Mytilus edulis: one gene and its partners. The protein of the gene in region 1 binds, or shares a complex with, the protein of each later gene. Links are inferred from orthologs where the notes say so. Each region holds a gene or a part of one and is shown in the gene's direction. Other genes may lie near its edges.

What was found.
Region 2: U4/U6 small nuclear ribonucleoprotein Prp31-like (region 1) and U6 snRNA-associated Sm-like protein LSm2 share a complex: the UniProt entries of both Homo sapiens proteins name them as parts of the U4/U6-U5 tri-snRNP complex. The link is inferred for Mytilus edulis from reciprocal best matches to the Homo sapiens genes PRPF31 and LSM2.
Region 3: U4/U6 small nuclear ribonucleoprotein Prp31-like (region 1) and U6 snRNA-associated Sm-like protein LSm3 share a complex: the UniProt entries of both Homo sapiens proteins name them as parts of the U4/U6-U5 tri-snRNP complex. The link is inferred for Mytilus edulis from reciprocal best matches to the Homo sapiens genes PRPF31 and LSM3.
Region 4: U4/U6 small nuclear ribonucleoprotein Prp31-like (region 1) and U4/U6.U5 tri-snRNP-associated protein 1-like share a complex: the UniProt entries of both Homo sapiens proteins name them as parts of the U4/U6-U5 tri-snRNP complex. The link is inferred for Mytilus edulis from reciprocal best matches to the Homo sapiens genes PRPF31 and SART1.

The regions. Positions count from the first base shown.
Region 1 is NC_092352.1:66,091,725-66,099,585, forward strand, and holds the start of U4/U6 small nuclear ribonucleoprotein Prp31-like, read left to right. Parts: upstream 1-4,588; 5' UTR 4,589-4,718; exon of another isoform or gene 4,719-4,750; intron 4,751-6,714; 5' UTR 6,715-6,744; coding exon 6,745-6,921; intron 6,922-7,861. UniProt on the Homo sapiens protein: Involved in pre-mRNA splicing as component of the spliceosome. Required for the assembly of the U4/U5/U6 tri-snRNP complex, one of the building blocks of the spliceosome.
Region 2 is NC_092345.1:55,908,604-55,916,514, reverse strand, and holds the start of U6 snRNA-associated Sm-like protein LSm2, read left to right. Parts: upstream 1-4,610; 5' UTR 4,611-4,639; coding exon 4,640-4,642; intron 4,643-6,289; coding exon 6,290-6,357; intron 6,358-6,905; coding exon 6,906-6,996; intron 6,997-7,512; coding exon 7,513-7,641; 3' UTR 7,642-7,911. Other genes in the region: proteasome subunit beta type-1-B-like, read right to left, coding at 4,296-4,384. UniProt on the Homo sapiens protein: Plays a role in pre-mRNA splicing as component of the U4/U6-U5 tri-snRNP complex that is involved in spliceosome assembly, and as component of the precatalytic spliceosome (spliceosome B complex).
Region 3 is NC_092344.1:14,979,300-14,987,517, reverse strand, and holds the start of U6 snRNA-associated Sm-like protein LSm3, read left to right. Parts: upstream 1-4,924; 5' UTR 4,925-5,009; coding exon 5,010-5,030; intron 5,031-8,218. Other genes in the region: transmembrane protein 209-like, read right to left, coding at 1,037-1,232, 1,460-1,668, 2,314-2,445, 2,953-3,011, 3,465-3,601. UniProt on the Homo sapiens protein: Plays a role in pre-mRNA splicing as component of the U4/U6-U5 tri-snRNP complex that is involved in spliceosome assembly, and as component of the precatalytic spliceosome (spliceosome B complex).
Region 4 is NC_092346.1:24,006,671-24,014,585, reverse strand, and holds the start of U4/U6.U5 tri-snRNP-associated protein 1-like, read left to right. Parts: upstream 1-4,622; 5' UTR 4,623-4,961; coding exon 4,962-5,172; intron 5,173-7,915. Other genes in the region: ankyrin repeat and SOCS box protein 3-like, read right to left, coding at 1-156, 918-1,067, 1,462-1,560, 2,422-2,518. UniProt on the Homo sapiens protein: Plays a role in mRNA splicing as a component of the U4/U6-U5 tri-snRNP, one of the building blocks of the spliceosome. May also bind to DNA.

The DNA.
Region 1 (7,861 bases):
TTGTCGATGAAATATAGATGTTATACTATTATACTAGCAAATAACCTTAGGTCATCACTATATATATATATATATAGCTATTTCATCGTCCTAAACATACATGAAATATGTTCCACTGAACGTTAAGCAACCAACAGTCAATATTTCATCACTATTTCAAACCATTGAAGGTGACATGGAAACTAATATGATTGTCAGTGAACTATAGAAGTTATACTACTAAAAAAGCAAACAGCCTTATATCATCACTATACCATCATCATACACATACATGAGATACTTGCCACTGGGTTTTAAGCAATCAACAATATATAATTCTTCGCCAATCGTATCAAACCTTAGAAGTTACCATGCAACCTGATTACAAATAATATGATTGTCAATGAGCTACCTATGGAAGTAATGCTAATATAATACAACAGATCGTTGGCGTTTTAATGGGCGGAGTTGCCTTCCTGGAAATATTTTATATTGCTATATTTGACAATGACCATAATAATAAACAATAAAATAAAGCAATATCTTACAAAAATAATATCAAATTGCACAAAAGAACGAGAAATAATGGATTTAATATATTCAAAGAAGATGGTGAACAAAAACTATTTGAATTTAATTCCTTTACAAATTGCGAGAATTATTAGAAACAATAGCAACATGTACAAAATTTGTTTCTGAATATATTCTGTCTATAGATATTCATTGGTTATAGTTCTGCCAAATTAAAATATTTTGATTCTTTCAGATTAAGCTGTCTGCCTGTGAGGCTTACTTTCTTTTACAAATGTTTCACCGTCTATATGATTCTTTTTTGTTTCTCTTGATAAACTTTATTTAATTATGTACAATTAGATATTCACTAGACAGTATTTGTCGGCCTCTGATGAGGGTTTACCTTGGAATATTCCTGAAAGAACCCGAAACATTGCATATTAAATTCTATAGAATTAAGCAATATAAAGTACGTAGTGTCAGGTCAGAAATATTGATGCCATACCATGAATAAGTGGATTTATGGTTATTTTATACACCAAACAAAAAAAAAGCTACTTTCTCGGCATTTCTTTTAATTTAAAAATTAAAATCTGGTAATGATCAGTTGATATTGCAAGAAACTTTTCTGTACCGCATTTATTTGCTAAGGTTTGCTTCTTAATTACACAGTAAAATTATATGTGTCCGATTTTCCAATAATTAGTTCTGTAGCCCGAGTTGTGACTGGATTTACAGGTGTGCGATTGTGCAATTTATTGCCCTCCAATTAATCACCTGAAATTAAGCTGGAGGTGAAGTTCTAAATGGATTATCACTTGGTAATTGTTTTTACAACTAAACAAATTACTTTATTTAAACAGAAGCACTGGGCAATACTATGGTATTCAATCCGGAAAAACAATATATGTCACGGTACATATATATTATATATATGTGTGTCTCTGTTAATGATAAAAAAAAAATGCACGATTTTTTAATATAAAATATTTGATATAAAAAAAAATATTTTGTTATATTAAAAATGATAAATGATGCATTAATATAGAAATTAGAAAGTAAATTATTCTACAACGACTTGCCATGTATATGAAATTAGTACCAGTTATAACTTATTAACTTTGTCACGGTAAAATTATTATAAGTATAATAATTAATGACTGTAAACTTGCATGTAATATAATTTCGTCTCAATTTTTACAGATAAACAGTATTCTAAAATACTATTACTTGCCGGTTGTTGAGATCTAGCTAGACGATCAATTTGACTTAAACGCGTTGTCATTTGAATCGATGGATATGATTGGACAAAATTAATTAGCATTGTCGATAACCTATTGTGATTGGGTACATATGAATTGCTATCGAAAACAGGGCGTAAATGCATTTACGAATCGCCCGTTAAACTGCAATTATCCAATAATATGGTTCCCGCGTTCCTTTATTATAGATTGTCGACTGTTAATGCATTTATGATCGATAATGATAGATTGTCGACGATAATTTCGTAAATGCATTTACAACCGTAAAGTATACTTTACGCCGTACATCTATAATGGTCGACCGATAATCTATCATTATCCCCGATAAATTGTGATTATCTCATTTATGTGGTTCCCGCGTGCCATAGGGGTATGTAAATACTTAAGATTGGGAGGGATTGAAAGAGAAAATAATGTTTTATTTCTTTTTAAAGACTTGTTGTACTGGTCAAATAGAAGTGCGCTCATGCACTTTTCTCTTTTAGTGTAGTTTCTATTTTCTTTAGAAAATTGTTATCATTTAAACTTCTGAAAGTACTAAGTTGTCTAAAAATTAACAAGTTAACAGCTTTTTCTTGTAACTGATTATGTGCTGCTGCTTTTTACTCTTTGGTCGGGTTGTTGTCTCTTTTGCACAATCCTCATTTCCATTATCAATTTACTTACATTTTATAGACGTTTCGCTTCCATTCTTCATGAGAAATTGTATTTCCAGTCTCAGAAATGCATAATCAGCATTTTTTTAATGACGTTCTTTTTTTTATTCTTCTTTGTGTGCATCTTTGCTGTAAAGCCTCTGAAGCCTGAGGTTCATGAATATGGGTCATTAATTTGACTTTAATGGCTATGTTTTCACCTCAAAATATAATCACATTTCAGTAAAACAAACAGACAAAAACTGTGCATAGCCGGAAAAGTTTAAAAACTTGTCACGCCATGACGCCCTTAAGATAGATATAATTCCAATGCATTAGAAAATTGAAAACTTAAACGGATTTTGCATTGTCCAAAATAACTTAGCCTTTAAAGAAAATTATGTCAAGATGATATCCAAAAGTAAATTTGGTAAAAAACAAAAATGCTGTTTATCCATATTTTTCTTATTTATAAATGACTTAGTTTTTCTGACAGTTAATTTTACATTCACTGTCTGTCACGGGTTATATTAAATAACTTTCTTAAACTATCCTGGTCTATCCTGGATTTGTTCCAAACTTGGACAGAAAGCTTGTTGAATAGATATGATCAAAGCTAGTATCTAGAAGGAAATTTTATAGAAATTTGTTTTTCTTTTTTTTCTCCAAATTTTACTTTACTGTAAATGAACTTAGTTTTTCTTCCAGTTAACTTTACATACAGTCGGCAGTTAAATTATTCCCTTTTTTTTTTTTTTATTAAATTCATAAACCATCCGAAATTTGTGCCAAACTTGAACAGAAGAGACCTACAATCAACAGATAGTTACTAGAGGAAAACTAATGTAAAAATCATTTTTTCTTTATTATTTGTTCATTTAATAAAGTCCATATGCGGATCCAGGCCCCCCCATTTCGTGGGAAAAAATTGGTTGATTATATAGGGAATCATTGAAGCATGACTGGAGCGGGCCCCCTCTTAGGTCAGTCAGCCCCCCCCCCTTAGGAAAAGTTCTGGGTCCGCCACTGAAGTCAGTGTCTGCGCGTACCCGGAAATTATCACAATAAGTGAATCCCTGTCGCACTGAATCATAGACTACAGCAAAAGTAGACAAGAGACACTAGGTTCCGCGGAATCCTTACAATTTTTTTACATAATCATGCGTGTATCGATCGCGACAGAGTGAATGTTTTTTTGGCACTGGCTACGGTAACATGGAAATGTAACAATAATATTACAATTATTGTTACATTAGAGGCTAATTACCGGAATGCAGGGTTGGGTAAGGAACCGATTAATTACGAATGTAACAATAATATATGGGTCCACGGTTACATTGCGTTATTGTTATGTACTAGATAATAATAATTATATTGTTTTTCAAAAACTTTTTAAGTATTGATTGTTTTGATGTTGTTAAAGAAACTACTATAGTTTAATGGCACTAAATTGATGAATACTTAATGAACTAGCTGTTTAATAGAGCATTTATTTTCACCAAAAAGAACGAAACTACGATTACAAAATATCTGGAGTCTGAAAATGAAAACATTGTTTCCACCATTTTCAACCTGTCGGCGAATTTCAACATTAGTTGCTTTCACAGTTGACTTGTATTTAAACAACCTTTGACAAGCTTCCAACAAAATAATTGGTCGAAAATATAAAAATTTCAAGCGTAAAAAAAAATCACCTGCAGGATAGCAGACATTGAAAGTTTCTTTAACCTAAAAAAAGAAGAGGTGCAGAATGGAATGCAATACATGGAGCATGCACATTGTCGAATCACTTATTTGTGATGGCTGTTTAGAGGGGTTTCACAAAAAAAATGCGTCGGACTTAAAGGCTAAAACATACTAAATACAACAACATACTGGATTTGTAGAAACAGTCATTGTAAATAAAAAATTGAAATATTGTATGCATGCAATATTTAAATATCAAATACAACTTTTCAAGTTTCATTCTAATACTTATCACTATATATAGGCCCATCGTACATTAGAACTAGGGTACATCACAGTCTTTAATCACGGTAACAATAACGCAGGGTAACTGTAGACCGAAATATTATTGTTATATTCGTAATTAATCGGTTCCTTATCCAAACCTGCATTCCGGCAATTAGTCTCCAATGTAACCGTAGCCAGTGCCTTTCTTTTTCCCCCGGAAATTATCCGTCACCAAAAATTAAACCAGGTATTACTTTTTAAGGCAATCCCACAAACGTTTTGATTACGAAAAATGGCAGCCCCCATGTAAAAATTTAGTAGTGGCTGTTTATGTTTATTTCAGACGTATTTTGAGGAATTGAAATCCAGATAATTGGTAAAATTACAACAATTTGGCATAATCATAATGTAAATATTTAAGTTTTGACTCGAAAGTTTATTTGTTGTGCTAGCTGTTGTAGACCTTTAGTTATAAAGGTGGTCTAACTTAGTAACTAGTTGAGTTAGGGAAGATCCTCTTCTTTGGCTCAATTGGTTAGAGCGTTGCCTTAATATCCCAAGATTGAGGGTTCGAATCCCGTTGGTACCATCCATAGATTTTCATAACATAGCTTTTTGAAGGTTTTATTCCTTGTTTGAACAATTTATACCTTAATATAAATATAAAAATTTTAATATATACGGAGACGTTGGAGTGATTGCACTTTGTTAGTATTGTATAACTTACAATTTAAGTTCATTTATATGTTTTGGAGTTGAGTATGAGCTCAATTTTCACTGAACTAGCATACATTTTTGTTAACAGTGGAGTCCCCGGTGTCCGCGCCTCCCGTGATATCGCGCATTAGCTGATTTCGTCTTATATTTATATCAACACATTAAAACATACAAAATCATTCTTGTTATTGTTTTAGCCTTCCGAAGGGATAAAAAAGAATAAAATTGATAAGTTCAAGAATTAATAATAACTGCAATTCCGTGATTTACCACATTTGGTTAATTTCCATTTAAAAAGTTACATCATCAGATAAAATTTGTTATATTTAACCCTTTCCTCCATTATGACGCTTTTTGACGCCACCCCCTTTACTCCATAATGACGCCTTTTGACGTCTGTGTAGTACCTCAGTTGAAATGCTTTGACTACAAAATGTCTGCATCAGACTTTAAACAGTTTGTATCCAATATGAAAAGAATATTTATGAGAATATCTGACTTGAATTTCATTGATGAAATATTCGTTTTCACAATGCATAAATACTTTAAACCTGATGATTTTTTTTATTGAAAAAAATCCTTATGCGAATCAAGTTTGTGAAGAAAAAAAATCCATGGAGGAAAGGGTTAAGTCATATTAATATCAGATTGAAATAATTTTTGCTCTGCATCCTTGGAAGTGTGTTTGGTACAAACTCAGCTATATTTCGTAGTATAAAATCTTTTTTATTCCAAATAAGCTATTTTTTTGAAGGCATGCGCGAAATCACCAGACATTAAAGGAACTCTCAGAACAGGGGTTTCCCTAATTTTGGACACACATTACACAAAATCTAGAGGATGAAACCATACAAACAAAAGATTTTATGAAATAAAAGTATGTTATGAATGTGTTCATGAATGAACATGTATGAATGCGGATACTCCGGACTGCACCATACATGATTTAGCAGGATAGCTGAATCTGCCTCCAGGTGAGGATTTTCTCGTGATATTGAAGACCAATTGGTCAGGTGTTTATCAGCTGTTTTCTGCTCTTTGATCGGGTTGTTGTCACTTTGGTACATTATGATGATTCCCTATTCCATTCTCAATTGTATGTATAGTAATGCAATAAACATTTACACAAGTGACAATACTTTATATAATAGACATGGGGTAACACAAATGACAGAATAACACCATTATTATCTGAATAACACTTGTAATAACTAAATAACACTTGAAATTTTAGTATTAGCACATATTCATGATATTGGTGACTTTTAAACATTCATGATTGATTATCAAATAATATTACATTATAAGAGTATTTTATACATGTAACTTAAAAATGATTTACAGAAAACAGGTAAGTTCATAAAGATCTTTATAAAGTTTATATACATTTAGTGTGTACATGATCAGCCAACATGGCGACCAAGGATATCATAACGGTTGCCATGTTGGATTTACACACTATAGAAGAAGAAGATGCTTTATTTCCATCAAATGGGCTCACAAGGAGCATAATATAACATCATTATATATTTATTACACCTCGATCACCACATAAAAAAGGTTAATCAGTATAGTTCAGTTGGAATACTGAAAATTAGACATGTACATGTTCTAATAGATTTCAGTCATGCACATTTATATTTTTTGTATTTTAGTTCTAAGTTTTTGAGAAACAGTTAAACAAGATGTCTCTAGCAGATGAACTTCTAGCAGATTACGAAGAGGCAGGAGGGGAGGCAATAGAAGATGAAGCTGATATTGAAATGACTGATATTTCTGAAGTGGCTGAAGTCTCTGAAGAAGTTGACTTCTCAACAAAGGACTCTGTTAGATCTGTAGCAAAACTAAGGGATAGCCAAAAGGTATACAACTTTATATGATGACTGAAGCTCCTTAAAATCCACCCAATCAGCAGGCTACAATTTACTTCTTTGTTCTCAAAAACCACAAATGTAGTTTCAGTTTAAATCATTATTTAATATATGCCGTTAGCTACTATATATTACATTGAAATATTTGATAAGCATAGGAAACCAACTGACCTCAAATGAATTTTTATGTATGCACATATATAGCTGTTTCATAGTGTGGAGCTAAATAGGTTCAGTTCAAGTTAGGCATACATTGTAATGATTTTAAACATCCACAAATGCCTACCTTCTTGTTTCTATTTAACATATTTATTTATATCCCACATTTTGATATGATCTGACCTGAACAATTTGCTGTTAAAATCTGCCGGTACATGTAGAACCGTAGAAGCTACTTTGACATACTTATTTGACTGTAAGCAAATAATTTGTGGTAATAAATATTTTACATTTATTTCCCATTTCTGTGGGAGATATGAAGATTTGTTCACCCAAGAAAATTCTTATTCCGAGGGCCCTGCCCGAGGGAAATATGACTTTTCAAGGGTGAAGAAATCTTTATATCTCCCTAAGTCAAGGGAAATGAATGTATCATGTGTATATTCCACTGCCTATACTTTGTTTACTACTAAGTACCTGAAAATAAAATATTCATTTACATTTTTCCAAACCGCTTGTTTTCATAAAAAAAACATGAGGTAATTTAAAACATTGATAAACAGTACCGATCAAAAGATAATTATATATTAATTTTGTTTTTATTTTACGTCTAAAATAATTTGTATTAAAGAATAAACAAAGATGTGAGTTAAATTGTTGTGATTTTATGAAAACCTTTTAACAAATACATGATTCAGATATCAGAATATGAGCACTCTTTTTGGGAAAACTCAAGTAGTCACAATATTTGAATAATTGACACGAAAAAACT
Region 2 (7,911 bases), on another chromosome or scaffold:
TCTTTTCAAAAGTACTCTTAACTTCACTATAACACAGGTTCAGGTAATGTTTCATTTAAGATGGGTACGTTACAGACTGTTGTATTCATTGGGGGTACTTTTATCCTGTTCATGAAAAATAACAGTAAAAATTCTTGGCAAATGACTTGAACGTTAATTTTTGGTGCATTTCAGTCAATTAAATAAATAATTTCTTTAGACAATAAAAGTGAACTGATTTTGACAAATCACATTATTCTTTTTTCCGAAAAATAACGAGAATTATTTGAGAGTTCTGACAAATCAGGATCAGGTTATTTGACAAATCATAGTTAAACTTTAACCAATTTGACACTAACTGTATAACGTAGCAGAAAATAGTAGTTTAAAGTAAGGATCTGGAAATTTTTCCATACAATTTTGGTCATTTTGAGATGATTGAAAAGACTTCAGCTGGTGCCCCTTTTCAACTTGACTAGATTCATAGAATTGACAAACTTGTATTGCTGTTTCATTGCATTTACAAAGTAAATGTCTTACCATTTCCTTCGAGAACAGTATAGGGAAGGCAACAGTTTAAAATTGAAATGGTTTTAATGACTAAAACTGGTTAATTTCCAGACACTGCTTACGTTTGTTTCGGTTTGACTAAATTAAAACCGGACGTTTTGCGATCAAATTAAAGTACATGTACAATAGTTCTGGATTCATTTCTGGATTAGTTTTGTTTATCAAATTGACAGGAAATCACCGACTTTTTATTGTTATTTAACTCAGGCCTCTACAATAACTTTTTTTTCAACTTGTCCAATAGGACAAGTACATACCAAAACTTACTTGTCCGAATGAAATTGAAACTTGTCCCAAAAAATATTAAGAATAACCTTTTTTGCATAATAAGTAGATTCAAGGAACAAAATAACTAAAACAATAGAACAGAAGTTGATTCCACAGTGTTTGATTCATACATATTATGTATCTTTTGAAATACTTTTAAAAAATATGAGTCGGAACAACTGAATCTAGTTTTGTCACAGGTTCTAGTTTTCATAAATGCCAAAGTCTTATAAGACTAGGCAGATGATCAGGAACCGTCTGATAGGCCTGTCAATGTTTTTTTTAACTTGAAAAGTGTATTTAAATGCAATCAATAAACAAGAATGTGTCCATAGTACACGGATGCCCCACTCGCACTTTCATTTTCTATGTTCAGTGGACCGTGAAATTAGGATAAAAACTCTTATTTGGCATTAAAATTGAAAGATCATATCATAGGGAACATCTTTACTAAGTTTCAAGTTGATTGGACTTCAACTTCATCAAAAACTACCTTGACCAAAAACTTTAACCTGAAGTGAGACGAACGGACGCACAGATGAACGGACGAACAGACAGACGGACGAACAAAAGTACATCATGTACATACCAGAAAACATAATGGCCCTCTACTATCGTAGGTGGGGCATACAAAAATGAAGATGACTTATGATTGAGGGTTTGGATGGGGTTAAATGATTAAAGAATAATGCCCTTAAAAAATGAAGATTAGAGAAAAAAGGGGTACATTTTTTGAAGATTAGAGAAAAAAGGGGTTAATTTTTTAAAGATTATAAAAAAAAAGGGTCGAAATTAAATGTTTACAGAATAACAGACCCCCCCCCCCCCCCCATCCAGACCCTCATGATTGCCAATGAGACAACTCTCTGCAAGAAATTAACAACTATAGGTCACCGTATTGCAAGTATTGTTTTTTACTACATAGGATCAAATATGATTTAGTGAATTTTGTGGTACACAATTTCTTCATTCATATATATGTAAAAAAGTATTTTTGTTGAAAAAAATACCGGTATAATTTATTTTAAAGCAACAGAATAAGGTAGAAAAATGATGTTCATATTTGTCTTGGTCCGGGTATGTTACCAAACTGTCTATTAATCACGACTATTAAATATGTCTTGTACGGTGCCAAATTGTCTATTAAAGTTGGAGCCGAACCGTTTCAGCTAGTGATGAACTGTCTTGTAAAGTTACCTCATCTGCAAAGCGCCGCTGATTCGAATCAGTAAGACTGGTTTACGAGAATAGTATGTCTTTTACCTGTTAAAAAGTACCTGACAAAGAACCAGTTTTAAATATTCGATTGCAAGTAAACATGTAAAATTAAAACTTTATTTTTCTCTTCTCTTCTTGTTTTATTGATTATAATTACTACATGTACGTTCATCAAATTTATTGTCTGCAGAATAATTTTACTTGTCCCATCGGACAAGCTTGATATAGCTTTTACTTGTCCGACCTTTTTTTGCTCTGGTACCGGACAATCGGACAAGCGTTATTGTCGAGGCCTGTAACTTAATTACCTTTAAAAGTGTTTGAATACAACATGTACAACAGATAATAGTTGCACTCATTAAATTTAACGTGAATTCAATAGACCACTTTCGAGTTCATCCGTCACCGGAAAAAACTCGTCAATTATACCCGCCTTTATGACGTCATTTATCAGATAGAGGGGGTCGCCTGTATCCCTGCACTATTTACGTTCATCAAGCGTCTTAGTGATAGTCATTGTGCAGGATAAACAAGAAAAAATGGTTGTTCTGTAGGTACTTAATGACAATTCCCTAATGACAGCAATGCTGATTGTCAATTTTGAGAATTCAATTTGCCGAATAATTCGTACAATAAGGAATTATAGTTTTCCAACCAATCGCTCAACATTGGAACGGAAGTGACGACGCCCCTAAACGCACAAATGACGTTCACTAAAACCAGAGTTTTTGATGGAAATGCATCTAACTCGAAAGTTGTCTATTTGCATTTTAATATTAAATTTGCTGAAATCAATTTCTTGCATGTGATACATACATGTATGAAAAAATCTTTTTTCTATGTAAATTAAAGTATAATTTTAAAATCAGAATTGATAGCCCCACAGGACGCAATTACGACTGGACACAATTACGAACGATTTCCAATGTTTGCCCTCTGAGATCATATTTGTTTATATTTATCAATAAATGTTTCTATAAATAAAAACCCTATTAAAAATCCCTTGTTTTCATGATAATACAATTTATGGGCACTTGGTAAATGTTGATGACGATGACAAAATCATTCTGAAAATATTATAAGAACGGCAATCTGACCTGGAAGTTATGTAAAAAAATACATAAAGGTAAGTGCATATTGCCTTCTTTTGTTAATATATAGAAAGAAAAATATCTCCTGATTCTGTTCATATGCGTGATGCCTTTTATCATGCCCAAATAACCGCACAATTGACGTTTTTTAGACTCTTCAGTCTTGTGAACCTATTTATGGCCAAAAGAAAATATGTTAATTTTATTGAAAAGTCCAGAGAACTCCGAAAGAAATGTTGACCAATATAAAAAAAATCGTAGATGAATGACAAGTACACCACCGAAATGGATAAACTTGAATTTAGTGCTCCTTTAAAGGAGGAACTTACACAAAAAAAAAAAAAATCAGAAATCTTTCCTTTACACATGACCGACATTTCGTCTGCAACCACTGCTGAAGTATATTGAAGTAAAAAACAAACTTGTGCTTTTTATTTTCCTATGAAAATGAGTTTGAGATAAAGATTAATGTATGCTTTATCAATATAGACTGTTGTCATTGATTTCTTCTGCAAGATATATCAATGTAGTGCTGTTCGGAATTGCGTCCATATGTGGCTCTCTTGACCCGTAAAACGAGGTCACGCAAATCTTACTAAAGTAACCCAACGTGCATAAAAATTTATGTGGGATATGATGCAAAATGGAAAGCCTTCATACATCTTAAATTCTATGGTATAAAAAATTCAAGAAAAGTAGTCTACATAAAAACAATATTAATCACAGTTCAAAAATCGTTCGTAATTGTGTCCGGTGAGGCTAATTGTCTTTGACGAAAAATAATTAAATAATGATTTGACTTGTTTACAATCCCTATATCTGGATTCCGGTTGAGGCATGAACAACTGGATGATACCACCAAAATCAGGATACGTAGATTGCAGGTCTGAGTGGTGCTAGTAACATTATGGTGTACTCCCAATGTATAACTTGGTCATGACAACGTTACTCTTATGTTGAAACTTGTAACCATGTAAATAAAATCAGCAAATGGACAGACAAGGGGCTTGCTTACAACAACGCCTTGTTCTCAGGTTGATAGCTGTTTCATTGCTAATAAAATGATTGTTTCAAAGAACATAGTTATGTGAAAATGACTTGAATGTGCATCATTTCAGTGATTTACTTTCTAATATATATGTGAATTTTACATGAGAGAAAATATAATACCCTCCATTCTGTTCATAGGGATTGAAGTATGCTTGTTTAGGAGCATAATGTGACTCCTCCTGATTTATATGACTGAGTACAGATGTCATTTTCAAGTTGTCTGCTGTGTATGACAGTGCTATTTTCACTTTACAAATTATGATCTCGTTGAAGTCACGTGACAACAAAGACCGGCTATGCAAAATCTACTTTTTCTGTTCTTTTAAGAAAATTTTCTGATTGTCATTATAAATTTTGGAAACATCAAATACAAAGAAATATTATGGCTGATATATTTATGAATAAAGATTGTCCTTATTTTTCATTGTAGTGAAATCTCCTTCATGACGAGATAAAAATCCAAAATGGTGGGTAAAAGCATGAATGAAAATTTTACATTTTGATTTTCATTTAATAACGTTCATCTTTCAATTTCTAAGCTGTGCCAGCCCATCAGCTCTATTTGACACTATAAAGTGTATAGGAGGAGTTGTGTTGAAAGTCTATCCATGGCCTCAAGTTGTTTATTTTACTATTTTCTGCTTTATAAAATTCGGGTGTCACTTTGGTGATTAGTCCAAATAATTATGACGTCTTGAAAGGCTATTATAATTTTTTTCTTTGACGCCTTACATCGACGTCGATGTAAGGCGTCAAAGAAAAAAATTATAATAGCCTTTCAAGACGTCATAATTATTTGGACTATATGGTGATGAGCGTCACGCATTCACTAATTAATTCCAACTACCCCACAACTTTTAGTTCGACACTGCAATAGCCCGACGACCTATAAGTCTGACACAGGTCGTGTAAGAACATCTTCTTCATGGAAGCAGGACAAATCGCGCCACTTTTTCACCAACTCGCCCCATTTAAAAAAAATTCTCGCCTCAAACTAGTTTACCAACTCGCCCCACTTGTGAAAACAGTTAAATCCCGTTATTTTTTTTCAGGGAAACTCGCCCCACTTATTAATGAAAAAGGTAAAATCTAGATGAATATATAATTTTCTGGTCTACCACCTCGCCCCACTTAAAAACGACTAGTATGAGGGGGCATGACTCGATTCACTAGGGCTTTTCTATTTTACACAAGTGGGGCTAGTTGGCATTCACGTCTCGGAAATACTGATACTCATTTATTTCTTCTTTATTTCAACAAAAAGAAAAGAACTACAAAATAGATATATAATTAGATGGGTATGAGTGCCTATGAGACAGCACTTCATTCAAGTCACAATTAAAGGCCCCAAAACGACAAGTGTAAAACCATTCAAATGAGAAAAGCATGTTTATCTAAGGTTTGCATAGGTATTGATTTTAATTATGAGTGCGTTAGGAACATAGATATATACAACGGGATTACATCTTTTGCATCAAGTGGGATGACTTTGCATTATTATATTCATCAGGATTTACCTATTTTTCACAAGTCATTATGAATTTTGGAAACATCAAATACAAAGAAATATTATGGCTGATATATTTATGAATAAAGAGTTGCATTTGGCAGACCTTATTTCAGAGGGAATTTTACCCTTTTCATATAAGGAGCAAAGTTATCCAACATATTTTCAAAGGGAATTGCCCTTTTTCATAAGTAAGGCGAGTTGGTAAACAAAAGAGGGGCGAATTTTTCAGAAAGTGGGACAAGTTAGTTAAAAAGTGGAGCGATTAGGTGTGGGGTGATTTGCCAGTGGGGTGATTAGTCATGGATTCTTATTCATAGATTTCCAATAGACAATCCCCGAGGTATTGACTAAACATCTTATCCCTTTTGTTTCATTACTGGACATCCCTCAGGGTTCCTTTAAAATTTTGACCTCATAATACAAAATATCTGACAGTAATGTGCTATTGCTTACATCCTTCTCATTTGCTGTCAGACTCAGAGCTTATTAAAACTGGAGAAAATTGTCTCATTGGCAAATTCAAATCACATTTCCATAATTTAAATTGAATCAAAATATGAATGAATTTATACATGTTAATCATGTTTATTTTTTCTGATTTCAGTTGTTTTACTCTTTCTTCAAATCTTTAGTTGGTAAAGATGTTGTTGTGGAACTAAAGAATGATTTGAGGTAAGAAGCCAAGAATAATAAAGACAGATACTAAAGTTGCTTACATTCACAAGATTTGGTCTAACAAATCATGTAGGTGGAAACTTGTCTTATTATTTTTATCATGTTAATAAACATCCCAGGCCCTAATTACAAATGTACAAACTGGTTGGTGAACTGCATTCATCTTTTGCTTTGTCCATAGCCTTTGTTTCATATTTCTTTTCAGAATTATTGGAAAATTTGATATTTGGTCTTGATCTTAATAATGAACTTGTAATGATGAGCCTCTTTCTGCATGTTGATGTATTTGACAAAACTTCAAATACTTTGTTGTTCCAGTTAAGCACAGCATTTCTAAGACAGTAGTCTGAAGTACAGGAACAATAATAGAACTAAACATAACTGCATAAAAACACATGAGCATTAGCTTTAATGAAGAACAGGAACTATATTCCAAAATTGAGATTTTATACACCATTTAGTATTAAATTATTTGTCCATACCTATACTATGTTTTGTAATATTTTTCATGTATAGTTTTGCTTTAAATGTTATTTATTTTGTAGCATATGTGGTACATTACATTCAGTAGATCAGTTCCTGAATATTAAATTAACAGACATACAGGTGACAGATCCAGATAAATATCCACATATGGTAGGTCTTTTCTTATCAGTTAGTAAATAATTACACTTTACATCTATATTGCTGATCAAGTGTCTGAATAATACCCAGAAAGTGTTCAATCATGATTGCCTAAATCAGACCAAAAGTTGCACAAAAGAGCTCAAGGCTGGAGATACTGAGGAGACAAAAAGCATAATTCAAAAAATGATACACTTAAGATGATGATTTATAATTATGATACTATTTACTGAGAACATTAGATTATAAGCAGTACATGTATTAAAGTTAATTTACACATCCAAATCAAAACAAGAAAAAAACGTTTGATATATAAATAGACATATGTACTTTTGGGGAAAAGTGTCTGATTTGTTAGTTTTAATTGAAGGGTACTTTTTGAGTGAATCTTGAAATTCATAGAAAACTGTAACTTGTTTACTTTGATATCTTTAATAATTATATATACAATAAGTAAGATATAAGTAATGTAACAGAAAATTGTCAGTATAAAATGAATTGTTAATAGTAACATGCTCTGTTTTTCAGTTATCAGTGAAGAATTGTTTTATTAGAGGTTCAGTAGTTAGATATGTACAGTTACCTGCAGATGAATGTGATACACAATTGTTACAAGATGCAGCAAGAAAAGAGGCAGCTCAGAATAGACAGAGATGAATAAGCAGTTGTATTTATTGGTGCAATAACTATGTAACATTGTTTTTATGAGATGGAATTCACAGGAACAATTCTATCAGAAGTCCTGACTCAGAGTTCTGAAACCTCAGGAACTATTTGTGAATAATATTTTATACCGACTTGTATTAACGACTGTGTTGATGGAAAAGATCTATTTTGTAGTGATGTAGGTCAACACGTCTGGTTTTGAAACCAGATATACTTTGTATCTTGAAAATAATTATTGACAAGTATGAAAGTTCAAAATAA
Region 3 (8,218 bases), on another chromosome or scaffold:
TACTTCTATACAACATATATAGTTGACCTATTACTCATAGTTTAAGAAAAATAAACCAAAACACAAAAACTTAACACTGTGCAATGAACTGTGATGAGGTCACGGTCAAATAAAACCTGTGCGACTGACATAAAGATAATAAAATATTTCCATACACCAAATACAGTTGACCTATGGCATATAGTATTAGATAAAAAGACCAAAACACAAAATCTTAACTTTGACCACTGAAACATGAAAATGAGGTCAAGGTCACATGACATCTGCCCGCTAGACATGTACACCTTACAATCATTCCATACAACAAATATAGTAGACCTATTGCATATAGTATGAGAGAAACAGACCAAAACACAAAAATTTAACTATAATCACTGAACCATGAAAATGAGGTCAAGGTCATATGACACCTGCCAGTTGGACATGTACATATTACAGTCCTTCCATACACCGAATATACTAGCCCTATTGCTTATAGTATCTGAGATATGGACTTGACCACCAAAACTTAACCTTGTTCACTGATCCATGAAATGAGGTTGAGGTCAAGTGAAAACTGTCTGACAGACATGAGGACCTTGCAAGGTATGCACATATCAAATATAGTTATTCTATTACTTATAATAAGAGAGAATTTTCGTAACATGAAGCATCTATATACAAAGTATGAAGCATCCACCTTCTAAAATATAAAGCTTTTAAGAAGTGAGCTAACACCGCCGCCGCCGTAGCCGCCGCCAAATCACTATCCCTATGTCGAGCTTTCTGCAACAAAAGTTGCAGGCTGGACAAAAACTACTTCTAAAAATATCTTTCTTTTGTATTTTAGGTAATATCATCTCATGTATCCCTTTTTTCTTCCTTTAGACATTCTATTTTTCGTCTTTCTTCCTTTCTTTCGTCCTTTAGCCATTATATTTTTGTCTTTCTGTTAAAATTAACTTTATAAAAACCAAGTGTTTAGTATATTGAATATAAACCTTTTTGGCGATATCAATATAAAGTATTGAGAGTTATATATACATCTTCATTTTACCTGGAGAAGCCTTGAATGAATTAGACATGGACCTCCTTCCTCGCAGTCCACTGGAATCAAAACTGTTCTGCATTCCAGGTGAAAAGGAACTTCCTGGTGAGAACGATGGATGATGGGTAAATCCTGATACATTAGGAGACATGGAGGAATTGTGAGCAAATGATGTACCAGGACTAATACTGCTGAGATTCTGAACCTTAAATTAACAGATTTGGAGAATCATTAGCCCATTATATTGAGAACAACTTAATAATTAAATGTAAGAGCTTTTCAGTATTTAAATAACATAGATATTTAAAATATCTTAATATTTTCAGCTTTTATCTGTCATGTTTATATTAAAACTATGTTTGTAATTACATGTAGTGGATAATGAATAATTCAACAAGAAAATATTTCCTCTCCCCAAACAGGTAAACATACCCCACTAATATTTGCTGCTGGTGAACTGTAAGTTGAATATACAATGGAGTGATTACTGAAGCTAATGGGCCCAGACATATTTGTAGGTGTCGTCTGTCGCTGACTTGCTGTACTAGAGAAACTAGAATGAGCTGAAGGTGTACTAGACAGCATTAAACTTTCTTCTGATGATAAATTCAATTTCCTTGGTGAAACACTGAATCCAGCATCTGAAAAATAGAATCCAAGCTGTAAGTCTTGTAATAAATAAAGTATAGTGTAAAACTGTAAATCCACTTGTTTTGAATCAATCTTTCCGTATTCCTTTTTAGGGTTTTTGCTTGTTTTGCATGCTTTTAGCCTTGATTGTTAGTTTTTAATTTTTTGTTTTAATATTTATTTTAGTATTGACCTTTTATCTTAAGGTAGGCATTTTTGTTTTATTTTTTATTTCAGTATTTGAATTTGACACAGAATGTACAGTGCCTTAAGAGTAATTCTTTTTTTTAAATAGGGCCCTTGATAAATTTTCATTATCATTATTTTTATTATTATTATAAATCTACAAAGCAGTGTTCTTAGAAACATATCTAGATGCATTGGTGACCCACAATGTTTAACAACACAAGGTTTTGTTTAGTTTTATTATGCATCCTTGAATGAATAAATTTATAACATATAAGTTTAGTTAAAATACAGTTTAATGATTGAGTCATTCTTAATTTCAAAATTTTAAAACAGATTCAGTACTATTCCATACAGGTCCAAGGTTTGTTTAATTTTTCAGTAATATATTTTACTTTTCATTTTTTTTTTCATAATAAATTTCATCTGCTACTTCACATCAATATCAAACAACTTAACCATTCATTTACCTATATCTCTGACAGCTAGGAGTTTTTTCTGCCCTGGAGTCATCATTACAGACTTGGTAGATACGTATGGTTTAAGGTAAACAAAAAAGTTGGTCACACTGTTTAATAAAAATATCACAGCCAGAATACATTCTGAAAAAAATACAATATAAAGTATGATTTTATTCATTACTTTTTTTATTAGTATCCTTTATGTCATCATGCATATGTCATGGTGCAATTGTCAATGTTAAATTTGCATTGTACGGTCTTCGTCTCAGGTACTACAATTTATAAGCAATAGTCAACTTACTTTATTGGGAATCTACATCTTAATAAATTTATCTTATATCCATCAATCTGAACTATATATCTTAGCACGCTTATTTGTGAGCAATGCCTTCAATAAACATTTTTTTTTCTAAAATATATATTTAGTGTTGTTTCTCAATCACTACATGTGCTTTTTTGTCTATAATTCTATAATACCTGCATTTTTTCAACACATATTTTTTGCATGTTAACTCTTTGTATGTATTTGTATGCATTTCTTCTCAAGAATGGTATTTTTCACAAATACACCTGAAAATGATATTTTTGTTCATTTCTAAAAAAAACATGAATAAGTGTCTGCCAATTCATTCTTTTAGTGTAACTTACCAAAGTACCATAGTACAGGATGTGTGATGTTTAAACTAGATCCTATACTGTTCAGCTGCCTGTAAAGAAAAAAGTTCAAAAAATTAATAAACAAATCATAAAGGCCTTCAAATAAGTGTTCATTGTAAATTTAAATTATTTATTTACATTCTCCCTTATATAAGTCAAACTATTTGATATTTTAACATAAAGTTTTGACCTACAATTTTTTTTACTTACAATGGTTTACTTTTACAAATTGTGACTTGGATGGAGAGTTGTCTCATTGGCACTCATACCAAATCTTCTTACATCTTTATCTCATTGTCATTTCCAGTTGCTATCACAAAGCTAACATTATTGGTTCATGACCTTTCTCATATTACATGTTAATTTCTCTATAATGCTGCAAACTAAGACACTGTCATTGACTGGACATTAAATACTTCACCGCATTTAATCTAAAACTGATATCATAAAGTCTTATTAGAGATTCAAATATTTAATTTAAAACATGTAAAATTGGTTCTTACATTTCCATGTACATCACTATAGCCAAAATGATATTTACACAGCACCAGAAGGAACTCTTTCTTGCCTGTTTCCATGACTGCCTTTTATTCCAAGTCTCATTGACAACTGGATCTGTAACTGTACCAATCTTTGTCATCCTGCTACCTACAATTAACATTATATCAATTTAGTTTGCTCTATTGATCTTTATGTCATCACTAACAAGATATTAAAATTTGAACCATATTAGTTTAACAGTTAAATGTAAATGGTAATTATGACACAACAATGCATTCTTTAAATAGAACAAAAACCTGTGAGACAAGGATAAGTAAACTTCATGAAAGTCTGTCTGTCTATCTAGATCTATCTAAACTATATAGGGGGTCTCATTGGGGGGTTCCAATCCCGGATCCCGCTTACTGTTTTGTCAGATTCCTGTATCCCGCTTACACTATGTACGTAAGCAATTCTCATTTTTTTGTCATTTCCCGGGTCCCGCTAGACCTCATTTCCCGTTTTCACGAAACAATTACTTGACTTTCACATGTCACGCTTACAAAAAAATCGGCAATCCCATGTCACGCTTAGACCCCAATGAGACCCACTGTATACACAGTAACCTTATCGCTATTTGGAAATCGGTCCCCCTTGACCTGAGAATCTGTTCTGCTTGAACTTTTGACGTCATACAAAAATCACTTAACCATAGTAGCGGCATATTTTTACAAGAATTTTGTGATGTCCAGTAATGTCAGACAAATATAAAGCAATAGCAGATTTAAGGTGTATTGATCTGACTGTCAGACATAACTAGTATGTCAAATTGATCTTAATTTGTCAGACCAGGAACATATCAATAGATTACTGTTCCTAGGTCAGACTTTAATCTCCTTATCAGGCTTTATATGACAGAATAAGATGATGCTTTTTCACACAAATTTATACCTGGTCACAGTGTTCGACTGTTGGTCGCTGTCAAAAGTGTCATTTAGTTACAGAATAAAAACTATAAAAATAAAAAGGGTGTATTTGTTTTCAATAGGTTTTATGAAGGACGTATTCTAACAACAATCAATACCAGACGATTTATGTCAATCGTTGTTATTGTTAATCAAAACATGCCGCCTCGGCTTCTTCAAAGTAAACTTCCGGTATAAATCGAGTCGTATAAAGGCCAACTCGTCCCTACAGATTTCGCTTGATAACTATTTTATATACAATCAATGTATTTTAATGACACAAATGGGAATAATGCAAATTAAAAAAAAACAACTGTTTTTGAAGGGATCAATCTATTAAAATAGTTTAATATGCAAAGGCGAAATTGGAAAGTCCCGTTCAGAACAAAGCTGTGGTACGATTAAGTACCGAAAACTCATGTATGTTAAATTTCGAAAGATTTTGATGCAAAAAGTTATATCAGCATAATAAATTTATGATTTCATTATTAAGTGGTTTTATTCTAGCACAACATACACCCTTTATACGCAATTACATTATTAATGAATAAACACAAAATGAACTTAGATTTTGGGTTATAAGATCAGACCAATAACTCGAAGATGGCTGATGAACAAGAGCAGGTGCGTTTGGACGACCAGAAAATTTGTGAATTATGTGTTTTCGAAATTTTACTAAAGCTGTTACACATAAAAATGTTCAAATTAATCAATCAATTATTTCGAATTTCATTTAATTCTCAGTATTTCTTTATTCTAAATGTCTTTTCATAAGAGTTTAGATTGTTGACTACTGAAATTGATAGAATTTGTGACAACTCGCCCCATATCTAACATGTATAATCGGCCCAACAAATACCTGCTAACTCACCAACTAGTATTCACAAAACATCTGTCAGATGGTGTTGTAATTTCTGCTTCTTGGTACAAAAAATGTATGTTTTTGTATAGTTTTAAAGCCAGCAAATACGAATTAACTCATAAAACTCTCTCTCTCTCTCTCTCTCAGCATTGGTAGCGTGAATAAATAATCAATAGTAAAAATGATGCCTGTATTAAACTTCTAGTACAGCAGATATATTTCCATACATCCATTCGAAAAACAATATATAATTAACATATGGGGCGGAGGTACTAAAATAACATTCTTTCTCTTGTATTTTTGTACGGACCAAATGGGATTATCTTAAATTCTACACTGACAATGTAAATAAATGCAAGGCATACAGCTATCTGCGCTGCTTCTTACCTCTAAACTACGACCCATATTCATAAGATAAACGGCAAACATACACCTAAATACGCTGCTTCTTACCTTTAGGAACCCCCGGGTGCCTTGCTGTAAGTGAAATGAAAATACATCAAGGAATGACGAACGTGACATTACACTGTTACTTATTTGAAATTACCGGAAGTAAATATTCTAAGCAGGAAGAAAAACATTACGTCCAACATTGACATAAAATATAGGAGTCTTCGACTCAAAATTCTTGTAATAATTAACTCTTATGAATAAACAAATCTAGACATATTTATTCTTCCAGTTAAGAACTCATACAATGTAAATGTACCATTTCTGGTTCACGCTTTAATAATATGGACTCAACCGTTAGGTTCTGAACAATACATGACAAAGTTGCGCCATACATTTTTGTACATGTATATGACGTTATCGATACAGCTAATAACATAAAGTAAAATGTACATTATTTACTCCTTCAATATATATACTAAACACTAGAAATAACTTATGATAACTTTATTAACTCTCTTAATACAATAGTCACAACATTCCTTTACTTGGGAATACCCAGTGCACACATTAACAACAGATGGGAAACACAGGTTTTGTTTGCTGTAAGCACACATACTTCTCATAGACAGTAGTCCAAATAATTGTGGAGTACCACTTATATAAGTGATTTCATTATTACCTATTTCAGTGGTTTGATAATATCTGTTATCACCTGTTGGTGTTTCCTTTAATCTTGGAATGTATATATGTAACTTTCATCCATTTTCTATATTTTGAGAAATTTTTCTTCAATTTCTCTACATACATCAATTATCCCTTTCTCTTGTACCGGTATATATAATTTCAGTTGGTGCACTTGGTCAGTAATTAAGTGCTCTAAAGCTTTTAAAATTACCCTTGGGAATTTGTCTGTACGGGTAATCAATTATTCATTACTACTCTTACAAACAGACAAAGGTAAGCATTTTAAGTAACCTGATTGGTCTTTTTTCAAGTTGGGCAGCAATCATTTACCTTCAAAAAGAAGGGGGATATATACAGTTTGTTGTTTGAGCCAGAAAATTTCAGTTGAAAGTCCTGAACATACATAAGATTCAGATATTTGCCACTGGATATTGAGCAACGTACAGTGAGTCAATCAGGCCAAAATATATAGATAACATCTATAAATTTGACACCATTAAACTGGAAGTGGCTCCTTTACAGGCCTTCCAAAAAATATTTGAGCCAGCCGGACATTTGATATCTGATTCCGATTTTAATCCCTTAAGACTTAAAAGGCAATTGTGGTAATCAGATGGCCATTCCAATGATTGACATTTGATTAGAAAAAAAAAGCATTTTCAACTTTACTTTGATATGAATTTGATATGAAACTGTTAATTTGGCAGTGCATCATTCAAAGTGTGCACATCAGCGTGCTCATATCTGCCTTACACTCTTTATTTGTGCAAAATGACATTCAGTGACATTATTAAAGGGAAATCACACTATTGTTTATACGCATCGCTATCGGGGCCGCTATAGTGTCGTAAAGTTCTGTATTATGACGTCGCCGTTTTCGTGTCCGTCGTAAAGCTAGTTCTTATTTTAAAAAAAATAGCGAGCCGCTCGAAGGGACGTTCCACTAAAGCAGGAGAAATGATAATGAACATATGATATTTTTTACAACTGTTATAATTAAAATAAAAATACGTGTCCATAAAAAAGGGTCTGATTGTATTGGGGTAAATTTACGGAATACAGAATAATGGGCAAATACTGCAGAATAAAAGACAAAAAACAGAAGATTAGAGAATGAAGCTTAAATATAAAGAATAAAAAATATTGGAAACACTAAATAAATATTAATAAATGAATGACCCTCTATCCAGACCCTTATGATTAAAAGAACATATCAATACAAAACACATAATCATCATGCATAATCACCACTAAGAACGATGGAAATTCATAGCATATTCAATATGATTTAGTACCCTCTCGGACCATTTTCTCGAAAACGAAGTCGGTGACAAATACTTTTTTTTGGCAGCGTATCGTCGCGATGCGGTATGTAGAGTTCATGGTATATTTTCGGGGGGGGGTGGGGAGAGGGGTACAAATAGACCAAGAGTAGCAGCATGTAAGCGTACACTTCCGGAATCTGTAGTTTTCAGTCCAACAGAGGAATGTAAATAGGAACAATGAGTTTCGACCGTTTTCTCATATAACATGCATGAAACGTCATAACTATAGTTTTCTATACTACATGTATAAATAATTCATCAAAAATCTCATTTCACATTTATATTTATCCGGTGCAGCCTGTCGGGTTAATACAAAGCAGGGTCAAAATTAATATGTTCTAGTTCTGAATACTAGTATGCATTAAACTTGCCACTGGACGTAAATTATGTGTGACGTGCTATTTGAAATCGTAATTTATTTCACATGTGACGGCAGAAATTATCCAAGTGTCGTCCATCTTTCCCGAATGTTCCTTTGACATCTAATGCCTCTCACTTTTTTTTTGGGGGGGGAGGGGGGGGGGGGGGTATGAAAACAAGTGATTTGT
Region 4 (7,915 bases), on another chromosome or scaffold:
GTCTGGCACCATGTCCTACTAAATAGGCCAGGATAGTTGCATGACCTTTCTCTGCAGCAGTGTGTAGAGCAGTGTAACCTGTGTAGATCTGATGGTTTATGTGTGCTCCATTCCTCAGGAGTAGTTTTACACAATCCATGTTATCCACATTTACAGCTAAAATTATAAAGTATTGATGAATGCTGGTGTCTTTACACTCATAAACGCATTCATTTAACTCTGAATATACAGTGTTTTCAAGTTGAAATGTGAGCAAGTGTTCATAAAAAGGTACCCCCACTATAAGTATTTTCAATGAATTTTATTTTTTTGATAAGCATAGATTTGAAAGCACAACAGTGTAGCATGCTCAAATGAAGCTTGATTTGTAGTCTTTGTGAAATTTAAGTGTCCAGCAAACAGTTAAATTATTCCGCACACAGAAAGTTGACAAGTGATGCTCTTGAAAATGCCACATACAGTATAGCATGGTCCCATCAAATTCCAGGAAAACTATAATTTGAAGGTTCTGTGCAAAACACTACCAAATTTTGTGGGATAGAGCAACTAACGTATAGACACACAGACGGAAGGAAAGACATGAACAAGTTGATGTAATTCCTTTACTAAAGACAGTATAAAAAAAAATTGAGTACCAACATACCTTGCCCTTTCAATACAAAAAGGAGTGACTACTTCCTTTTTACAGGTATTACCCTGCTAGCTCACCCCAAAGTTACCTTAGCTTTATTAGGTAAAACCTTTCAGAATTTTGAGTCATCAATGATTTTCAACACTTGTACTTTATTTGGCCTTTTTGATTATTTTTTTTAATTTGAGCGTCACTGATGACTCTATTGAAAATGGAATATGTGTCTGGTGTACAAAATTTTAATCCTGGCATCTATAAAGAGTTTGCCCATAACATGCTTAGTTACCTTCCCACAGTGGAGCAAAGTTTTCCTTGGTTGTTGTGTTTACGTTTGCAGAATATCCAATAAGAGCTCTGCAACATGCAAAATGGCCACCTCTGGCTGCCAATAACAATGAAGTCTCCTCTTCAAATGTTTTCCACTCAACATCAACATCTGAAAGAAATATCCTTTTTCTTAAATATATATTGTATACCCTAATACCTTGTTTATTAGTAGATACAAGGTAATTAGTTTAAACATTTTGAATACTGAATATATTAATTGCAAGAGCATATGTCCACAACATTCAATTTATCAACAGGTCAAAATTCATGTTATATAGACTTCTCAGTGAGGGTTGTATTCCATTTTTAAAGTGAATGCAGTAAAAAAAATTAAGGTCACTGTCATAAATGATTTCATTATTAATTAGCAGATGAATTGTACAACAAAAGTATATTTAATCAGCCAACCATCTTTATAATGTAAATTCAAATAAAAAAGTAAACATGCATTCCCTTCCTTATAGTTTATTTTTTCCTAACTGTACAAAGTAATAGATAACTACCTAGCCTCAGTAAAAAATCCAAGCAGCCAGTGTGTCCATTAGCAGCAGCCTCATGTATTGGTGTCCATCCTCTGTTGTCTCGTACATCTACTAGACGACCTGAAACATCATTTCATATATAAAATACCTTAAAATCACAACTTATAATAAGTATGTGAGTTATCACAAGTAGACTTTTTCTAGGTGGCTAAATTTAAAAAAAAAATTGAGTAAAATTGGGAATAAATCATTGTATATAATTTTAAATATTCTATTTTGTTCTTGAATGTCTACAAATGTATGGATTTGTTATTAAAGGCCTCAATGAAAATTACTCAATTTTTAAGTTCATATTCCTTAAATAATATATGTACTGTAACCTCAATGAAAATTACTCAATTTTTAAGTTCATATTCCTTAAATAATATATGTACTGTAACTTCTACAGTACATATATTATTTAAGGAATATGAACTTAAAAATTGAGTAATTTTCATTGAGGCCTTTAATAACAAATCCATACATTTGATCAATGAAGTTTTAGTTTGGGGTTTGCTTTTGTAAATAAATGTGATCTGGTATTTATTTGCTGCTGTAATGTAACATTTAGTTAACAAGACGTTAACAAGTCGTTTTATGGCTTTTCTTCAGGTATCTCTATTCATTTTTGAAAACAGAATCATAACCTCTAAATGTGAAGGCATTTTAAATCATGTGTATATCTTGTCAAACAATTTTTGTGGCAGCTTTTGTTAATAGACAATCATACCACAACTCTTTATTATTAAATTTTCTAGGTATGAATAATTGGAGATGTAAGATTATTTATTCAATGAGACATCTTCATACAAAACTGAAAATTCTAGGAGACAACATACCAACGGTTAATTAGTAAGTCAACAGCAACTCGGATCAGAAGAAAAATACCTTAAGATTTTTCAATAATTAGTACTTGAAGTATTGCTGTTAAAAAAAACATACCATGCCAAACTAACTGTTGTACCAGACCAAGGTCACCATTACGAGCTGCTATTCCTACTGAAGAACATGTGTCCTGATAGGTTTCATTGAAATCCATTACATACCAAATCTATCAGAATGAAAAAATGGAAGTAGATGTTCACATGTTACATGTATTTATACATTTGTATCTTCACATGTCACAATAGCTTACCGGTAGTCATTTCTGGTATTTGAGTACATTTTTTCTTAATAAACAAATTTGTGTCTTAGAAATTCTTATGTGTACAGAGCCTTTTATAGTTGATTGTGCGGTATGGCCTTTTCTCATTGTTGAAGGCCTTACAGTGATCTAAAGTTGTTAATTTCTGTAACATTTGGGCACCAGGTCTCTTGTGGAAAGTTTTCTCATTAGCAATCATACAACATCTTCTTTTATACATACTCTGTATTTCAATCAGATTGTCATAAATTAAGAAATTTTTAAAATAACAGCACATTGTTCATAAAAAACAAGATCAAAGACAATTTATTTGATAACCATAACTTTCAACAAATGATAACAAATGAAGCAATGTGTAAATGATTTGTAAATGAAAAAAAATCTAGTTTACTGTTGTACTGCATCTGTCATCAGAATAAAAATAAATTTGTCTGTAAACTGAAAATGTTGGGCACAATAAACAAAATATATACTCTGAATTCATATATTTTCGAGGGTACCTATTTTTCTAGATTAAGGAAAGCTTGCATATTTAATTTTGTGGTTTTGATGAAGTCTGCATACATGCCATACAAGCCTACATAAAATTTTATCATCCATTGAACATTTAATTTCATGGTTTGCCTGTACTCACAAAATCCTCGAAAATTGGTATCCCACAAATAATTATTAATCCACAGTATGTTGAAGTCTTAAAGATAAAGGTTTACACCGTATCACAATAGACAATAGACAATATTTATTAGCACTAACACATTTACATTAAATGGTTATCATGGTTATGGCATACAGTATTGAAACAATAAATTGACAATAGATAAATTGACTATAATTATATTAGAGTGACAGTGGTATATTCACAGGGTAAAAACCTATAAATATGTGTGTTTTCAGACAGTTTTAAAACACATTTTAATGTTCATGAACAAAAAACAAAAATTAGGATACCTATTATAAAAAGAAATATAAATATTACAGATGTTCTCAATAAAAAAACAATCATTAATATACTTTATGGTGATTTTTATGATGACTGGCAGACTGATATTTAAAAGTGCGGTCATATGGGTCAGTGTTAGAGATGACTGCAATTTAATAAAATTAAAATTAAGATTTTAACATAAACTTTCATATCAACTTTGCATTATCAATGCTCGATGTAAATGAGGTAATGATCATATAGACGAGTAGTATGAACACCATACACTAATAAAAGTCTTACTATTGCTTATAATATCTGAGGGGGGATAGGACCTTTATCAGGACTCCAGGATCGGGTGTTTTTAAGCTCGGGATTTCGGGATTGACCCTTTCGGGATCCAGGAATTATTTTTTCGAATTTCGGGACCTCGGCATTTCATATTTTTAAGCCCGGAATTTCGGGATTTCGTGTTTTTAAACCCAGGATTTTGGGATCAGGACCCCTCCTACCCCCCCTCATATCTGAAAAACAGATTTAATCAGATAAACTTACTGAATGAATGAGCCATAATTATTAGCTTGTTTTATTTATCTTTTCATCTGATGACTAAATTCTTTCATCATTGTCTATTACGAAGAGTTGTAATCGGGTACCTTCGTGACTTATAACAGTAAAAAAACTTGTCAAATGATGTCAACATTAATTTTTGGTGCATGACAATTAAAAAATGACAAATTTTTAAGAATCACGTTATTTTTTTCCAAAAATAACATTAATGATTATCATTTAAGACCTCTAAAGAACCATGATACAGATATTTTGACAAATCACAACGTTTGATGGCTGACGGTAATGGGTATTCCTATCCTCATTAAGTACTGTATAAAAATGAAAGTCCAGTTGTCAAATTTACCTTTTTATTTGTAACCTTCTATAGGTTTTTGAGAAGAGCATGTAGAGTCAAAAGGGATAAAGTTGAATGCTCTTTCTGATCATTGCTATTTGTTCCTCTCATATTCTTAATAAGAGAATTCATATTGCATGCATTATTTTTGTCAGACAGCAACTTTACTTTTAGTTTGTATGGATTTTCCACATCTCACAAAATGGTCTGTCTGTAGACCGGGTTATTAGCTTTACCATTCATAGAACATTAAAGTGTTCGTTTATGTTTAATATATTTTGCAATTTGTAGTTTTGAATATATATTCTTAGATATACTAACCATTTATGGAATTATGTTTTTTATTTGTTTTATAGAAGACGCTTTTGAGTTTGGCATAACCCATTATAAAACATTATTTTATACACTTTACTGTAGTTTTTTTTAACTTCCGGTAATTCAACGAACAGAAATCGTAAATAAATATCTGTTTTTACCCATTAATGCTGTAGATCTCAAGTGTATATTCCGTCATGGGGTCGTCTAAAAAACACAAAGAAAAGGACCGTGAACACAAAAGAAAACACCGTCACAGATCTCGATCGAGAGAACGAAAGCGACATAAACACAGTCGAAAAGACAACAAACCACATGAAGATGAACAAGAATACACTCACGAAGGATATGATGAAAACTATGATGACTACAATCGAGCACCACTACAAAAAGTTCTAGCAGATGTTGGTAGGTGTCAAGAAATTTGGCTTCCATCTATGTAAAATTATTTTCTGATTTCCCTTACTGCCGAGTGTCTTCTATTTTCAGTTTCCGCACTCCATCATAAATTATATACACCTTATCCCCATTTGTCTGCCATTACTGGATATCACACAGGTTCCCATAAAATTTTGACGTCATAAAACAAAATAGCTGACGCCACAATGGAAAAGTGATTGTTGTATGCGTCAAAAGTTCAAGCGGCCGGGTCAGCCGGGATTAGCGATAAGGTTTATTGATGACTATGTGCTGTGCCGATCCGAAGTCACATTTTTAGCTCACCTGGCCCGAAGGGCCAAGTGAGCTTTTCCCATCACTTGTCGTCCGTCGTCGTCGTCGTCGTCCGTCGTCGTTAACTTTTACAAAAATCTTCTCCTCTAAAACTACTGGGCCAAATTAAACCAAACTTGGTTACAATCATCATTGGGGTATCTAGTTTAAAAAATGTGTGGCGTGACCCGGCCAACCAACCAAGATGGCCGCCATGGCTAAAAATAGAACATAGGGGTAAAATGCAGTTTTTGGCTTATAACTCAAAAACCAAAGCATTTAGAGCAAATCTAACATGGGATAAAATTGTTTATCAGGTCAAGATCCATCTGCCCTCAAATTTTCAAATGAATGCGACAACCCGTTATTGGGTTGCTGCCCCTGAACTGGTAATTTTTGGGAATTTTTGCTGTTTTTGGCTATTATCTTGAATATTATTATAGATAGAGATAAACTGTAAACAGCAATAATGTTCAGCAAAATAAGATTTACAAATAAGTCAACATGACCAAAATGGTTAGTTGACCCCTTTAGGAGTTATTGACCTTTATAGTCAATTTTAAACCATTTTTCGTAAATCTTAGTAATCTTTTACAAAAATCTTCTCCTCTGAAACTACTGGGTCAAATTAATCCAAACTTGTCCATAATCATCTTTGGGATATCTAGTTTTAAAAATGGGTGGCGTGACCCGGCAAACCAACCAAGATGGCCGCCATGGCTAAAAATAGAACATAGGGGTAAAATGCAGTTTTTGGCTTATAACTCAAAAACCAAAGCATTTAGAGCAAATCTGACATGCGGTAAAAGTGTTTATCAGGTCAAGATCTATCTGTCCTGAAATTTTCAGATGAATTGGACAACCTGTTGTTGGGTTGCTGCCCCTGAATTGGTAATTTTAAGGAAATTTTGCTGTTTTTGGTTATTATCTTGAATATTATTATAGATAGAGATAAACTGTAAACAGCAATAATGTTCAGCAAAGTAAGATTTACAAATAAGTCAGCATGACCAAAATGGTCAGTTGACCCCTTTAGGAGTTATTGCCCTTTATAGTCAATTTTTAACCATTTTTTCGTAAATCTTAGTAATCTTTTACAAAAATCTTCTTCTCTGAAACTACTGGGCCAAATTAAACTAAACTTGGCCACAATCATCATAGGGGTAACATGTTTAAAAAAATGTGTGGCGTGACCCGGCCAACCAACCAAGATGGCCGCCATGACTAAAAATAGAACATAGGGGTAAAATGCAGTTTTTGGCTTATAACTCAAAAACCAAAGCATTTAGAGCAAATCTGACAATGGGTAAAATTGTTAATCAGGTCAAGATCTATCTGCCTTCAAATTTTCAGATGAATCCAACAACCCATTGTTGGGTTGCTGCCCCTAAATTGGTAATTTTAAGAAAATTTTACTGTTTTTGGTTATCTTGAATATTATTATAGATAGAGATTAACTGTAAACAGCAATAATGTTCAGCAAAGTAAGATTTACAAATAAGTGAACTTGACCGAAATGGTCAGTTGACCCCTTTAGGAGTTATTGCCTTTTATAATAAATTTTTAACCATTTTTCCGTAAATCTTAGTAATCTTTTACAAAAATTTTCTTCTCTGAAACTACTGGGCCAAATTAATCCAAACTTGGCCACAATCATCTTTGGGGTATCTAGTTTAAAAAATGTGTCCGGTGACCTGGCCATCCAACCAAGATGGCTGCCATAGCTAAAAATAAAACATAGGGGTAAAATGCAGTTTTTGGCTTATAACTCAAAAACCAAAGCATTTAGAGCAAATCTGACATTGGGTTGAATTGTTTATCAGGTCAAAATCTATCTGCCCTGAAATTTCGGATGAATCAGACAACCCGTTGTTGGGTTGCTGCCCCTAAATTGGTAATTTTAAGGAAATTTTACTGTTTTGGGTTATTATCTTGAATATTATTATAGATAGAGATAAACTTTAAACAGCAATAATGTACAGCAAAGTAAGATTTACAAATAAGTCAACATGACTGAAATGGTCAATTGACCCCCTAAGGAGTTATTGTCCTTTATAGTCAATTTAGTTCATTATAGATAGAGATAATTGTAAGCAGCAAGAATGTTCAGTAAAGTAAGATGTACAAACACATTATCATCACCAAAACACAATTTTGTCATGAATCCATCTTCTTCCTTTGTTTAATATTCACATAGACCAAGGTGAGCGACACAGGCTCTTTAGAGCCTCTAGTTCATGTTTGAATTTATGCAAATTTCTCATTCTTGCTTTATCTCTTTCAGATAAAATCCTCAAGATTAAACATTGTGTTATATATGTCTTTAGAGGTTCAAAATGAGGGGGGCAGGACGTGGGGATCAGGTGTTTTTAAGCTAGGGCTTTCGGGATTGAACGTTTCGGGATCCGGGATTTATTTTTTACAATTTTAGGGATGTCTG